3 linked regions of the Pelodiscus sinensis genome follow. The protein of the gene in region 2 purifies or fractionates together with the protein of the main gene of each other region. This does not show direct contact. Links are inferred from orthologs where the notes say so. Each region holds a gene or a part of one and is shown on either strand. Other genes may lie near its edges.

Evidence for each region.
Region 1: the proteins of DAXX (region 2) and DNMT1 purify together in Homo sapiens (affinity purification with western blotting; 4 studies listed by BioGRID, with this or other methods). This does not show direct contact. The link is inferred for Pelodiscus sinensis from reciprocal best matches to the Homo sapiens genes DAXX and DNMT1.
Region 3: the proteins of DAXX (region 2) and HSPB1 purify together in Homo sapiens (affinity purification with western blotting; 3 studies listed by BioGRID and IntAct, with this or other methods). This does not show direct contact. The link is inferred for Pelodiscus sinensis from reciprocal best matches to the Homo sapiens genes DAXX and HSPB1.

What each region holds. Positions count from the first base shown.
Region 1 is NC_134729.1:15,028,520-15,032,260, forward strand, and holds the start of DNMT1 (DNA (cytosine-5)-methyltransferase 1), read right to left. Parts: upstream 2,162-3,741; 5' UTR 2,117-2,161; coding exon 2,061-2,116; intron 1-2,060. UniProt on the Homo sapiens protein: Methylates CpG residues. Preferentially methylates hemimethylated DNA. Associates with DNA replication sites in S phase maintaining the methylation pattern in the newly synthesized strand, that is essential for epigenetic inheritance.
Region 2 is NW_027465970.1:8,306-12,046, reverse strand, and holds the start of DAXX (death domain-associated protein 6), read right to left. Parts: upstream 2,535-3,741; 5' UTR 2,431-2,534; coding exon 2,218-2,430; intron 1,891-2,217; coding exon 1,579-1,890; intron 1-1,578. UniProt on the Homo sapiens protein: Transcription corepressor known to repress transcriptional potential of several sumoylated transcription factors. Down-regulates basal and activated transcription.
Region 3 is NC_134731.1:15,444,040-15,447,780, reverse strand, and holds the start of HSPB1 (heat shock protein beta-1), read right to left. Parts: upstream 2,242-3,741; 5' UTR 2,171-2,241; coding exon 1,777-2,170; intron 1-1,776. UniProt on the Homo sapiens protein: Small heat shock protein which functions as a molecular chaperone probably maintaining denatured proteins in a folding-competent state. Plays a role in stress resistance and actin organization.

The sequences.
Region 1 (3,741 bases), on a different chromosome or scaffold from region 2:
CTAAACGGCAAACCACTGCTGCCCCCAAGCCTCGTGCCCCTGTGTTCTGAGCGGCTCTGGGGCTCTCCTCCACGTCCTGTCCTAAACAGCAAACCACTGCTGCCCCCAAGCCTCGTGCCCGTGTTCTGAGCGGGTCTGGGGCTCTCCTCCACGTCCTGTCCTAAACAGCAAACCACTGCTGCCCCCAAGCCTCGTGCCCGTGTTCTGAGCGGGTCTGGGGCTCTCCTCCACGTCCTGTCCTAAACAGCAAACCACTGCTGCCCCCAAGCCTCGCACCCGTGTTCTGAGCGGGTCTGGGGCTCTCCTCCACGTCCTGTCCTAAACGGCTGCGAGCGAGGCGGGAGGAAGACAAAGCAGCCCGTGCCACGCAGGGGTGGGGTGCAGCCCCTGCCTGGACCCACCCGTACTGGCTCTGGGGCTTGCGGCAGGACAAGGGGGGGGTCAGGGTCCGATAACTCCCAAGGATCCCCCCCACGCTCACCCCTGGGGCCGCAGGGCGCACCCCGAAGGAGGCTGACGTGGGAGCACCAGCCCCCAGCAGGGTGAACCCCCGGCCCATCTACAACAGAGCAGAGCCCCACGGCCTGGGGGGCTGGACCCCAACAGGGAGCTCAGACGGGGGTCTCCATGAGGGGGGCAGCAGCGGGCCGGGGGCTCAGACGGGGTCACCCTCACGGGCTGGCAGCGGGGAGCCTGGGGGGGCAAGTGCGAGGGTCACACGGGGGTAAGTGGGGGAGGCTGCAGACTTGGGAGGACCAAAACTCAGGGGTAGGGCGAGGGACGGGGGAGGGGTTCTTGGGGGGACTGTCAGGCTCGTGGAGGGGGGCGGAAGGGGTCGCGGAGGGGGACAGGAGGGGTCGTGGTTGGCGGGGGGGAAACTGGTGGGGGGGGTCGCGGCTTGCGGGGGGGACTCACGGGGGGGCGGTTGGCGGGGGGGCTCGCGAGGGGGGGGCGGTTGGCGGGGGGCGGACACTCGGGTGGGGAGGTTGGCCCGGGGGGGCGGTTGGAGGGGGGGTCACTCACCGCCAGCGCAGCTCGGGCGACAGCAGCGCGGGGGGGGGGGTGGTTGGCGGGGGGGGCGGTTGGCGGGGGGCGGCTCGCGGGGGGAGGTTGGCGGGGGGGAGGTTGGCGGGGGGGGCTCAAGGGGGGGCGGTTGGCGGGGGGGGCTCACGGGGGGAGCTCGCGGGGGGGGGTTGGCCCGGGGGGGCGGTTGGCGGGGGGGGGCGGTTGGCCCGGGGGGGCGGGGGAGGCTCGCGGGGGGGCGGTTGGCGGGGGGGGGGTTGGCCCGGGGGGGCGGTTGGGGCCCGGGGGGGGGCGGTTGGCGGGGCGGGGGGGGCTCGCGGGGGGGGGTTGGCCCGGGGGGGCGGTTGGCGGGGGGGGGGTTGGCCCGGGGTGGCGGGGGGGGCTCGCGGGGGGGCGGTTGGCCCGGGGGGGCGGTTGGGGCCCGGGGGGGGCGGTTGGCGGGGCGGGCACGCGGGGGGGGTTGGCCCGGGGGGGCGGTTGGCGGGGCGGGGGGGGTTGGCCCGGGGGGGCGGTTGGGGCCCGGGGGGGGGGCGGTTGGGGCCCGGGGGGGGTTGGCCCGGGGTGGCGGGGGGGGCTCGCGGGGGGGCGGTTGGCGGGGGGGGGTTGGCCCGGGTGGCGGGGGGGGCTCGCGGGGGGGTTGGCCCGGGGGGGCGGTTGGCGGGGGGGGGGGTTGGCCCGGGTTGGCGGGGGGGGCTCGCGGGGGGGGTTGGCCCGGGGGGGCGGTTGGCGGGGGGGGGTTTGGCCCGGGTTGGCGGGGGGGGGCTCGCGGGGGGGGTTGGCCCGGGGGGGCGGTTGGCGGGGGGGGGCGGTTGGGGCCCGGGGGGGGCGGTTGGCGGGGCGGGGGGGGTTGGGGCCCGGGGGGGGCGGTTGGGGCCCGGGGGGGGTTGGCCCGGGGTGGCGGGGGGGGTTCGCGGGGGGGGCTCGCGGGGGGGCGGTTAGCGGGGGGGGGGTTGGCCCGGGGTGGCGGGGGGGCTCGCGGGGGGGCGGTTGGCGGGGGGGGGGTTGGCCCGGGGGGGGCTCGCGGGGGGGTCACTCACCGCCGGCGCAGCTCGGGCGGCAGCGGCGCGGGGGGGGGGGCGGCCCGGGCCGGCATCGGGGGCGCGGGCGGGAGCCGGGGCCGGAGACTGTTTCGCGCGGAAACCAGGCGCGGGGGGAGGGCGGGCGATACCATTCGCGGGGGGAGGGTTGTACCATTCTGCGGGCTGGGAGATTCCATCGGCGGGGGGGACGTGGGACAAACCATGCGGGAGGGGAGCCGGGCCTTGCAAGGCGGGTACCAAAGAGAGCGGGGCGGATGGGATGTACCATGCTCACCCAGGGCAGAGGGGTGGGATGTACCATCCTCGACGGGGAATCAACATGAATGCGGCGAGTGACGGACGAGCCGAACCATCTCCACGGAACAGGGGAGATGGAATGTCACACGTGCACCCAGGGACGGGGGGGGGGGGGGGATAGGAAATCCTAATTGGGCAGGGGGATGGGAAGTGTGTAAAACGGGAGATACCATCTTGGGGGAGCATGGAACGTACCACATGGCCCTATACCAGAGCAGAGACCGTTGGGATGCATCATAGTGGGAGGTACCAAGTGCAGTTAGGGCAGAGGTGTGACAGTTGGCATGTACCATTTTTATAGGGAGGGTTGGAATGCACCACGGGAAAGGTAGTACAGGGGGAGCTGGATGTACCAACCTCAGGGAGGTTGGGTTGGGATGTACCAAGTGAGCAGGACCTTTGGGATGTACCATGAAGGTGGGAGGGTGGTACTGCTCTTCCAGGGTTCCCACACACCGGTCTGTGCCAGGCACTGGGCTGTTCCGCACATCAGGCTGTGCCACACATCAGGCTGTGCCACGCGCTGGGCTGTGCCACACATCAGGCTGTGCCACACATCGGGCTGTGCCACGCGCTGGGCTGTGCCACACATCAGGCTGTGCCACACATCGGGCTGTGCCACGCGCTGGGCTGTGCCACACATCGGGCTGTGCCATGCGCTGGGCTGTGCCACACATCGGGCTGTGCCACACATCAGGCTGTGCCACACATCGGGCTGTGCCACGCGCTGGGCTGTGCCACACATCGGGCTGTGCCACGCGCTGGGCTGTGCCACACATCAGGCTGTGCCACGCGCTGGGCTGTGCCACACATCGGGCTGTGCCACGCGCTGGACTGTGCCACACATCAGGCTGTGCCACACATCGGGCTGTGCCACGCGCTGGGCTGTGCCACACATCGGGCTGTGCCACGCGCTGGGCTGTGCCACACATCAGGCTGTGCCACACATCGGGCTGTGCCACGTGCTGGGCTGTGCCACACATCAGGCTGTGCCACGCGCTGGGCTGTGCCACACGCTGGGCTGTGCCACACATCAGGCTGTGCCATGCGCTGGGCTGTGCCACACATCAGGCTGTGCCACGCGCTGGGCTGTGTCACACATCGGGCTGTGCCACGCGCTGGGCTGTGCCACACATCAGGCTGTGCCACACATCAGGCTGTGCCACGCGCTGGGCTGTGCCACACATCAGGCTGTGCCACGCGCTGGGCTGTGCCACACATCGGGCTGTGCCACGCGCTGGACTGTGCCACACATCAGGCTGTGCCACACATCGGGCTGTGCCACGCGCTGGGCTGTGCCACACATCGGGCTGTGCCACGCGCTGGGCTGTGCCACACATCAGGCTGTGCCACACATCGGGCTGTGCCACGTGCTGGGCTG
Region 2 (3,741 bases):
AGGACACAGACACGTCACACAGACAACAAGGGGGGGCTCACAGGACAAACACGGTCACAGAGATGGCGGGGGGGCCCCAAAGGACACAGACACGTCACACACACAACAAGGGGGGGCTCACAGGACAAACACTGTCACAGAGATGGCGGGGGGGCCCCAAAGGACACAGACACGGTCACACACACAACAAGGGGGGGCTCACAGGACAAACACTGTCACAGAGATGGCGGGGGGGCCCCAAAGGACACAGACACGGTCACACAGACAACAAGGGGGGCTCACAGGACAAACACGGTCACAGAGATGGCGGGGGGGGGCCCAAAGGACACAGACACGTCACACACACAACAAGGGGGGCTCACAGGACAAACACGGTCACAGAGATGGCGGGGGGGGGCCCAAAGGACACAGACACGTCACACAGACAACAAGGGGGGCTCACAGGACAAACACGGTCACAGAGATGGCGGGGGGGGCCAAAGGACACAGACACGGTCACACAGACAACAAGGGGGGGCTCACAGGACAAACACTGTCACAGAGATGGCGGGGGGGGCCAAAGGACACAGACACGGTCACACACACAACAAGGGGGGCTCACAGGACAAACACGGTCACAGAGATGGCGGGGGGGGCCCAAAGGACACAGACACGTCACACAGACAACAAGGGGGGGCTCACAGGACAAACACGGTCACAGAGATGGCGGGGGGCCCCAAAGGACACAGACACGGTCACACAGACAACAAGGGGGGCTCACAGGACAAACACGGTCACAGAGATGGCGGGGGGGGCCAAAGGACACAGACACGGTCACACACACAACAAGGGGGGCTCACAGGACAAACACGGTCACAGAGATGGCGGGGGGGGGCCCAAAGGACACAGACACGTCACACAGACAACAAGGGGGGGCTCACAGGACAAACACGGTCACAGAGATGGCGGGGGGGGTTCCGCACAGACGGCAGGGGTGGGCCCCAAAGGGCACAGACACGGTCACATGGACAGTGGGGGTCCCGCAGGACACAGACATGGTCGGGGAGGCAGTGTCATAGCCCAGGGCAGCAAGGCCATGTCTCAGGGCTCTTTGGGGAGCAGACCCAGCTCCGGAGAGAGGGCTTGGCCCCATCCCATGAGTGGCTGGAGGGACAGGACCTTGCTTCACAGGCCCAGCTCCAGGCACTGGAGAAGAGCCCCCTCCCCACAGCTGCGTCAGCCCTGAAGAGCTGCTCTCAGTCCTCACAGAGGCCACAAGCGATGGACTGCCTGCGTCGTGGGCCCCATGCGCCTCCCTGCCAAGCCCTTTTCTCAAGAGTGAGGAGTGGGCCGGGCTCAGACTCACCGACCAGGCAGGGTCAGTCCAGCAGACTTAGGCCCGACAGACCATACACCCCAAGCCCCCCAGGCTGGCTGGCGAGGAAAATGGGGCACTCTAGGGGCATCAGTTCCCATACAGCCCCAGAGGCGGGGCCTGGCTGGCTGAGCTGGGCAGAGAATATGGAGAAGGGATACACGAGGACATGGCTGAGGAGTTAGGCGATACATGGAGGGTGGGGCCCTGCCAAGGGCTCTCACCTCCTCAAAGAGCCGCTCGTTCTCAGCCTTGAAGCTGCCACCATCCTGCGTCACAGGCTCTGGTCTCTTGTCTGAGGCCCCGCTGGGCTGGGGGGAGGCAGGGGTGGGCTCTGGAGACGTAGCTGGGGGCAGCCCCTCCTCCTCATCATCCAGGACAATGATGTTGCTTGCCACTGCAGTGGCCATGGGCGCAGGTACCTGGCCAAGTTGGGGCTCAGAGCTGCGGGGCAGGCCTGAGGGCTGGGCGCATCCTGGGGGCAGGTATGGGGAGTAACCCCCGGTGCAGGTGGTCTGAGTCACACGCCGCAGTGCCTATGTGGGGAGATGAATTGGTGAGTGCTGGTCCCTACATCTCTTCTTCACCCCATGCGCAGCACCCACCCCCAATGCCAATTCTACTCCCGTGTCCCAGCCAGGAACCAGAGTTTGTCCTAGAGCCACCATCCTGGAATCCAGCGCCTGCCTCTCCCTGCAGCCTCATACACAGCCTCTATCCTGTGCCATCCCAGATCCCAACCTCCCCCTGCCTGCCGAGTACTCTTCCTAAATCACCATCGGCAGACTTTACACCCCCCAGAGGCACAGGCATCGTACCCACCCCGTACAGAGTCCCAGCATGCAGACAAGGGTCCAAGATACCTGGCTTATGGAGGCTCTATCTTCCAAGCACTGCTCCTGGGATCTCTCTGACGACACCAAAGGGTGCCCCTCCCCCCCCCCAGCAATCTCCTGCCTTGGGCCTCCAAACCAAAGGAAAACAGGGGTGGAAGAATAAGGACATACACAATATCTCCCACATGATGTATTATTTTGACAGCTGCAAGGTGGGGGACACACCTCAGAACTGAGCATGGACAAACCATCTGCCCAGGTCAAGAACAGCAAGACAGACTGGATACAGTCTCTCCCCACCCGAGTACCAAGGAAGTGTCTGCTCAGCTCCCCCCAGCCCTGCCCAGCACTGCCCCCAGTCTTGGCACTCACACACTGCCAAGAGGGACAGCTGTGATCCTCAGAACACAACTTCCCCCACACGGCTCCTGGGGCAGAGTTGTCAGCCAACATCCAATTCCGATCAAACACTGGCCCACGCCCAGGGAGACTACTCCCCTGGGTCTGGCCCTCAAGGTACAAACGTGTCCGTTACTGCCAACTGAATGGATCTCCCTTCAAGTCCCAGCCCTTTGGTCCTGGCAGATCTTCCTCCACTACACTGAAGACTCTATTGGCTTGTATGGAGGCACCCAGAGCCTGTTACCAAGACACTCCATTCATGGTCTCCTCCCAAAGCTAAACAGCTGGAACTCCTGGACCCTGGTTTTCCAGCCCTTCCTGTGGCTCCAGTTTTGCCACATCCATCCTGAACTGTGGGCTGCAGAGCTGGGCCCACGATGCTAGCAGCAGTGGCACCAGGGCTGGTGCAGAAGGAAAGTATCCCCTGTGCTCCTACCACACTCCCAGGTTTCCACATCCCAGGGGGCAGCCACCCTAAGAGCAAGTGTCAGGCTAGGAGCTCCAGGCCACTGATTATACACCCCCCCATCCCAGATTGATGGGCTGCCCCCCACTCCTGCCAGGCCCCCACCCCCATTTGCCCTGACCCTCCCTCAGTCCCACCACCATGCTTCCCCTCCCCCCTCTCCTTGCTCTGCCCCCCTCAGCCCCACCCCCCCAGCCCTGATTCCCCTCCTTGCCCCGCCCCTCCCTCAGCCCCACCCCCACGCCAAGCCCCCAGCCCTGATTCCCCTCCTTGCCCCGCCCCTCCCTCAGCCCCACCCCCACGCCAAGCCCCCAGCCCTGATTCCCCTCCTTGCCCCGCCCCTCCCCCACGCCAAGCCCCCAGCCCTGATTCCCCTCCTTGCCCCGCCTCACGCCAAGCCCCCCAGCCCTGATTCCCCTCCCCCACTCCTTGCCCCGCCCCACGCCAAGCCCCCCAGCCCTGATTCCCCTCCCCCACTCCTTGCCCCGCCCCGCCCCACGCCAAGCCCCCCAGCCCTGATTCCCCTCCCCCACTCCTTGCCCCGCCCCGCCCCACGCCAAGCCCCCCAGCCCTGATTCCCCTCCCCCACTCCTTGCCCCGCCCCGCCCCACGCCAAGCCCCCAGCCCTGATTCCCCTCCTTGCCCCGCCCCTCCCCCACGCCAAGCCCCCAGCCCTGATTCCC
Region 3 (3,741 bases), on a different chromosome or scaffold from region 2:
CGCATGTGCCCACCCCTGGTCCAGACTGACAGCGTCTGAATGTCCCATGGGAGGCCACAGGGCCTTAGTTTAACATTTGTTTGAAAATATTTCGTTACAGGTTGGACCTCCCCGGTCCAGCATCCTGGGGACCTGAGAGGTCCCAAACAAGGGGCTTGCCCGACCAGGGGAGGTCAGGCCTCTGGGCTCTCCTGGGGCTCTCCTCCAACACACTGCTCCCGGCCCACCTGCTCTGGGGCTCCACTGTCCCCAGCCACCAGCTCCACTGGCCACCAGGGCTCCACTCCGGCTGCTGGTATGGCTCCCCATCCCCCGGACACTGGTCCCGCAGGCTGCCAGCCTGGCACCACTCCCAGCTGCTGGCAAGACGGACCCCAGAGTCCCGGACCAGAGGGGGCCAGCCTGCAGTGTGTTGCAGAAGTGGCTGAAAACGGCAGTGAGGGGACTCCTCCTTCCTCCCCGCACCCTCGGCTTTGCTCCCTGCCATTGTGATGGCGATTGCTGGGCTGGGAGATGTTTTGCCGAGCTCTCGTTTGGGATCTGAGCCAGGGAGGGAGAGAAAAAGCTGGAAGGGTCACGATTCAAATCCAGCAGCGAGGCCCACACGATTCCCCCGAGAGTGAAGCCACCATCTTTAATGATGCTCTAGAGGAGATTCGCCAGGCTGCCGGAGCACTCACTGCTAAGGGCGTGTGTGAACTTGGAAAGCCCTCGGGCCCAGACCCCCCAAGGGTACAAGGCTCCTCGCTTTCGAGAGAGGGCCCTAGGGGGTAGTGAGGGCTGGGGGCTAGGCTGTGAGCCGGGGACTCATTGAAGCTTGGGGTCTGTCCCCAGCTCTGTCACAGACCTGCTGGGTGATAAGTTATATTACAGCCCCCTGCCTCAGTTTCCCTCCTCCCCTTTTGTCTATTTAGACCAACTGCTTGTTGGGGCAGGGTCTATTTCTTACTATGTTTGTAGAGAACCCAGCCCAAGGGGGCCCTGCTCTAGGCTGAGGTCTCTAGAGGGGTCTGGAATACAAATATTCAGCCGGAATGGAATAACAAGCGTAGTCTTCCCCCATCCCATGGCTTGCATGGATTTAGGTGGCTGAGCAAGCCCTTTCCCTCTTCGACCTGCTGGAGCAAGCGGCTCCCTAGCGTGCGGTGGGGTGGAACATGGCCCCTCACAGGAAACAGAGGGGGCCGGCTGGCTGCATCCACTCCTCAAGGCTGTGGGGATGGGGGAATAAGGGGGGGCAGGCAACGGCCCGCTTGGAGGCATGAGCGATATAGTGAGAGGCGCCGAGTCGAGGGCTGGAGGTTCGAGAGAGTGAAGGGTGCACCAGTGCCCCACCATCTCGGCAGGAGGAATCCTCCAGCCTGAATGGAGCCTTTGAATCCTGGCCGTCCGGGGCCACAGGCGGCAGCCAGGCCGGCCTGAGGGGGGCTGCAGCCACCTCTCACAGACCAGGCCCAGTGGGGCCTGTGTCACTCACCTTGCTCTAGGGGGGCAGAGCCGGATTAAGACCTTTAGAGGCCCTAAGCACTGAAAAGATGATGGTGCCCCCCCCATGTAATTCAAAATAAAAACAATACTATACCGTAAAATCTCTTTTTTTTGGTGGCCCGGCTTTGCGGGTGCCCTAAGCACATGCTTAGTCTGCCTATTGGGTAATCCAGCCCTGTGGGGGGGCATGTGCAGCAGGCCTAGGGCTCAGCACAGGGAGAACAGCTCAGGCTCACAGGAGACGGCTGCCCCTCTCCAGAGCCAGGAGGAGCGGAAGGAAGCACTCACCGGTTATCTCCACCACACCCTCCTTGGTCTTCACCACCAGCTCCTCCGGGGCAAAGTGGTTGACGTCGAGGGCAACCTTCCAGCTGTCCGCTGTCTGCCGGATCTCCGAGATACCGCTGCTGAGCTGGCGACTCAGGGCCCGGCTGTAGGCAGGGTTAGGGGAGGTGGGGGAGGTGACGATGGGGCTGGGGACGGCCAGCGGCTCGGCGGCCTGGCTGGGCAGCAGGCGGAGGTAGCCCGGCCAGTTGGTGCTGCTCGGCCACTTGTACCAGTCCTCCAGCATTTGGGGCATCCCGAAAGACTGATCGAAGAGCCGGCTGCCCAGGTACCAGTCCCGCCAGGGGTCCCAGCTGGGGCTGCGCAGGAAAGTGAAGGGCACCCGGCGCTCTGACATGGTGCACTCCTGCTCTGGCCTGGCTGCTCTGGCTGTGGCGGGAGGGGAACGAGCGGGCGTCTCTCGAGCAGCCCCGCGGGCTGGCCCCTTATGAAAAGGCAGCTGGTTATTTTTAGCCAGGCAGTTCAGCTGGCTATTCATGGAGATTACATGCGGGCCAGTCACTGCTGATGAGCAGCAGGTCAGCTGTCAGGCTCTGCCCGCGTCCTCCCAGGCCCTTCGTCATCCCACGGCTACGCTGGGCCTGCAAAGAAGCGGGGAAGGGTGCTGGCTCCCCAGTATCTGGCTGCAGTGGGTTGGCTGGGTAGTGAAGACACGACTGGGGTTCAGGAGAGCTGAGTTTAGGGCTTGGGCCCTGCCACAGCCTGCTTGTGTGGCCTTGAGCAAGTCACTTAATCTCTCTGGGCCTCAGTTCCCCAGCTGTACAATGGGGCTGGGTGCAGGTGGGGAAAGAGGAGGGGGCTGCGAGGTGTGGGAGGGTGGATGGTGCAGTGACTGAGAAGCGCATGGCTGCGTGGATGGGCAGGGGCAGCACATGGGAGGCAATGGAAAGAGGAGGGAGGGGCGGGGGTGAGCTGGGGAATGAGGAGGAGGAGAGCCGTGAGATACAGTCCGTGGGTGGCTGAGGAGCAGTGAGAGAACAAGCTGGGCTCAGCCTGCCTCCAGCTCAGCTGCCAAAGGAGGGCCAGCGTCCCCCTGCACCCCTGCCCCACCCTGTGCCCTGTCCGGCTGCAAGGGGCCGGTACACAAGGAGCCCTCTCACACTGCCTGCGCGGGGCAGGGCAGGATCCGGTATCAAACCTGCCACGTCCTTACTGGGACCAGCTGCAGAGGATCCGGTGCCCACCCACCATGCCCATGACAAGGCGATTGATTGCCAGCTCCCAAGTCTCATCACTCTCAGCCTGGAGCTAGGCTGCCCCCCAGCCAGTGTTCCCTGGAAGCTGAGCGCTTGGGCGGCCATGCAGGAGAGGTTCAGATACTTCCCAGCTGATTAGCAGAGCCCCCGTAGTCGGTCGGCAGCGGGTGTTCCTACTGGTGGTGCACATGCCTTGGCGCGCATAGCAAAATTTATTCTGCACCTGGAAGAAATTGGGGGGGAACATTGTCCCCAACCTCATTACCAGTGCAGCAGCTCCTTCCACTGACTTCGCACAGTTCTGCTGAAGCTGGGGATTAGCTCTCCACTCGGGGAGGAGGGGGCGCACCCACTCGCGTGCTGGCTGAGTGCACTGCACAGAGCAGGATGGCAGCTGCCCACCCAGTGCTTTTTTTGTGATGGTACTGTCCTGTACGCAGTACCGGCAGCTCCAGACACAGTACTGGCACCTCCAGTCGTGGTACCAGCACCTCCAGTCATGGTACCAGCACCTCCAGACACAGTACCGGCACCTCCAGTCGTGGTACCAGAACCTCCAGTCGTGGTACCAGCACCTCCAGACACAGTACTGGCACCTCCAGTCGTAGTACCAGCACCTCCAGTCGTAGTACCAGCACCTCCAGACACAGTACTGGCACCTCCAGTCGTAGTACCAGCACCTCCAGACACAGTACTGGCACCTCCAGTCGTA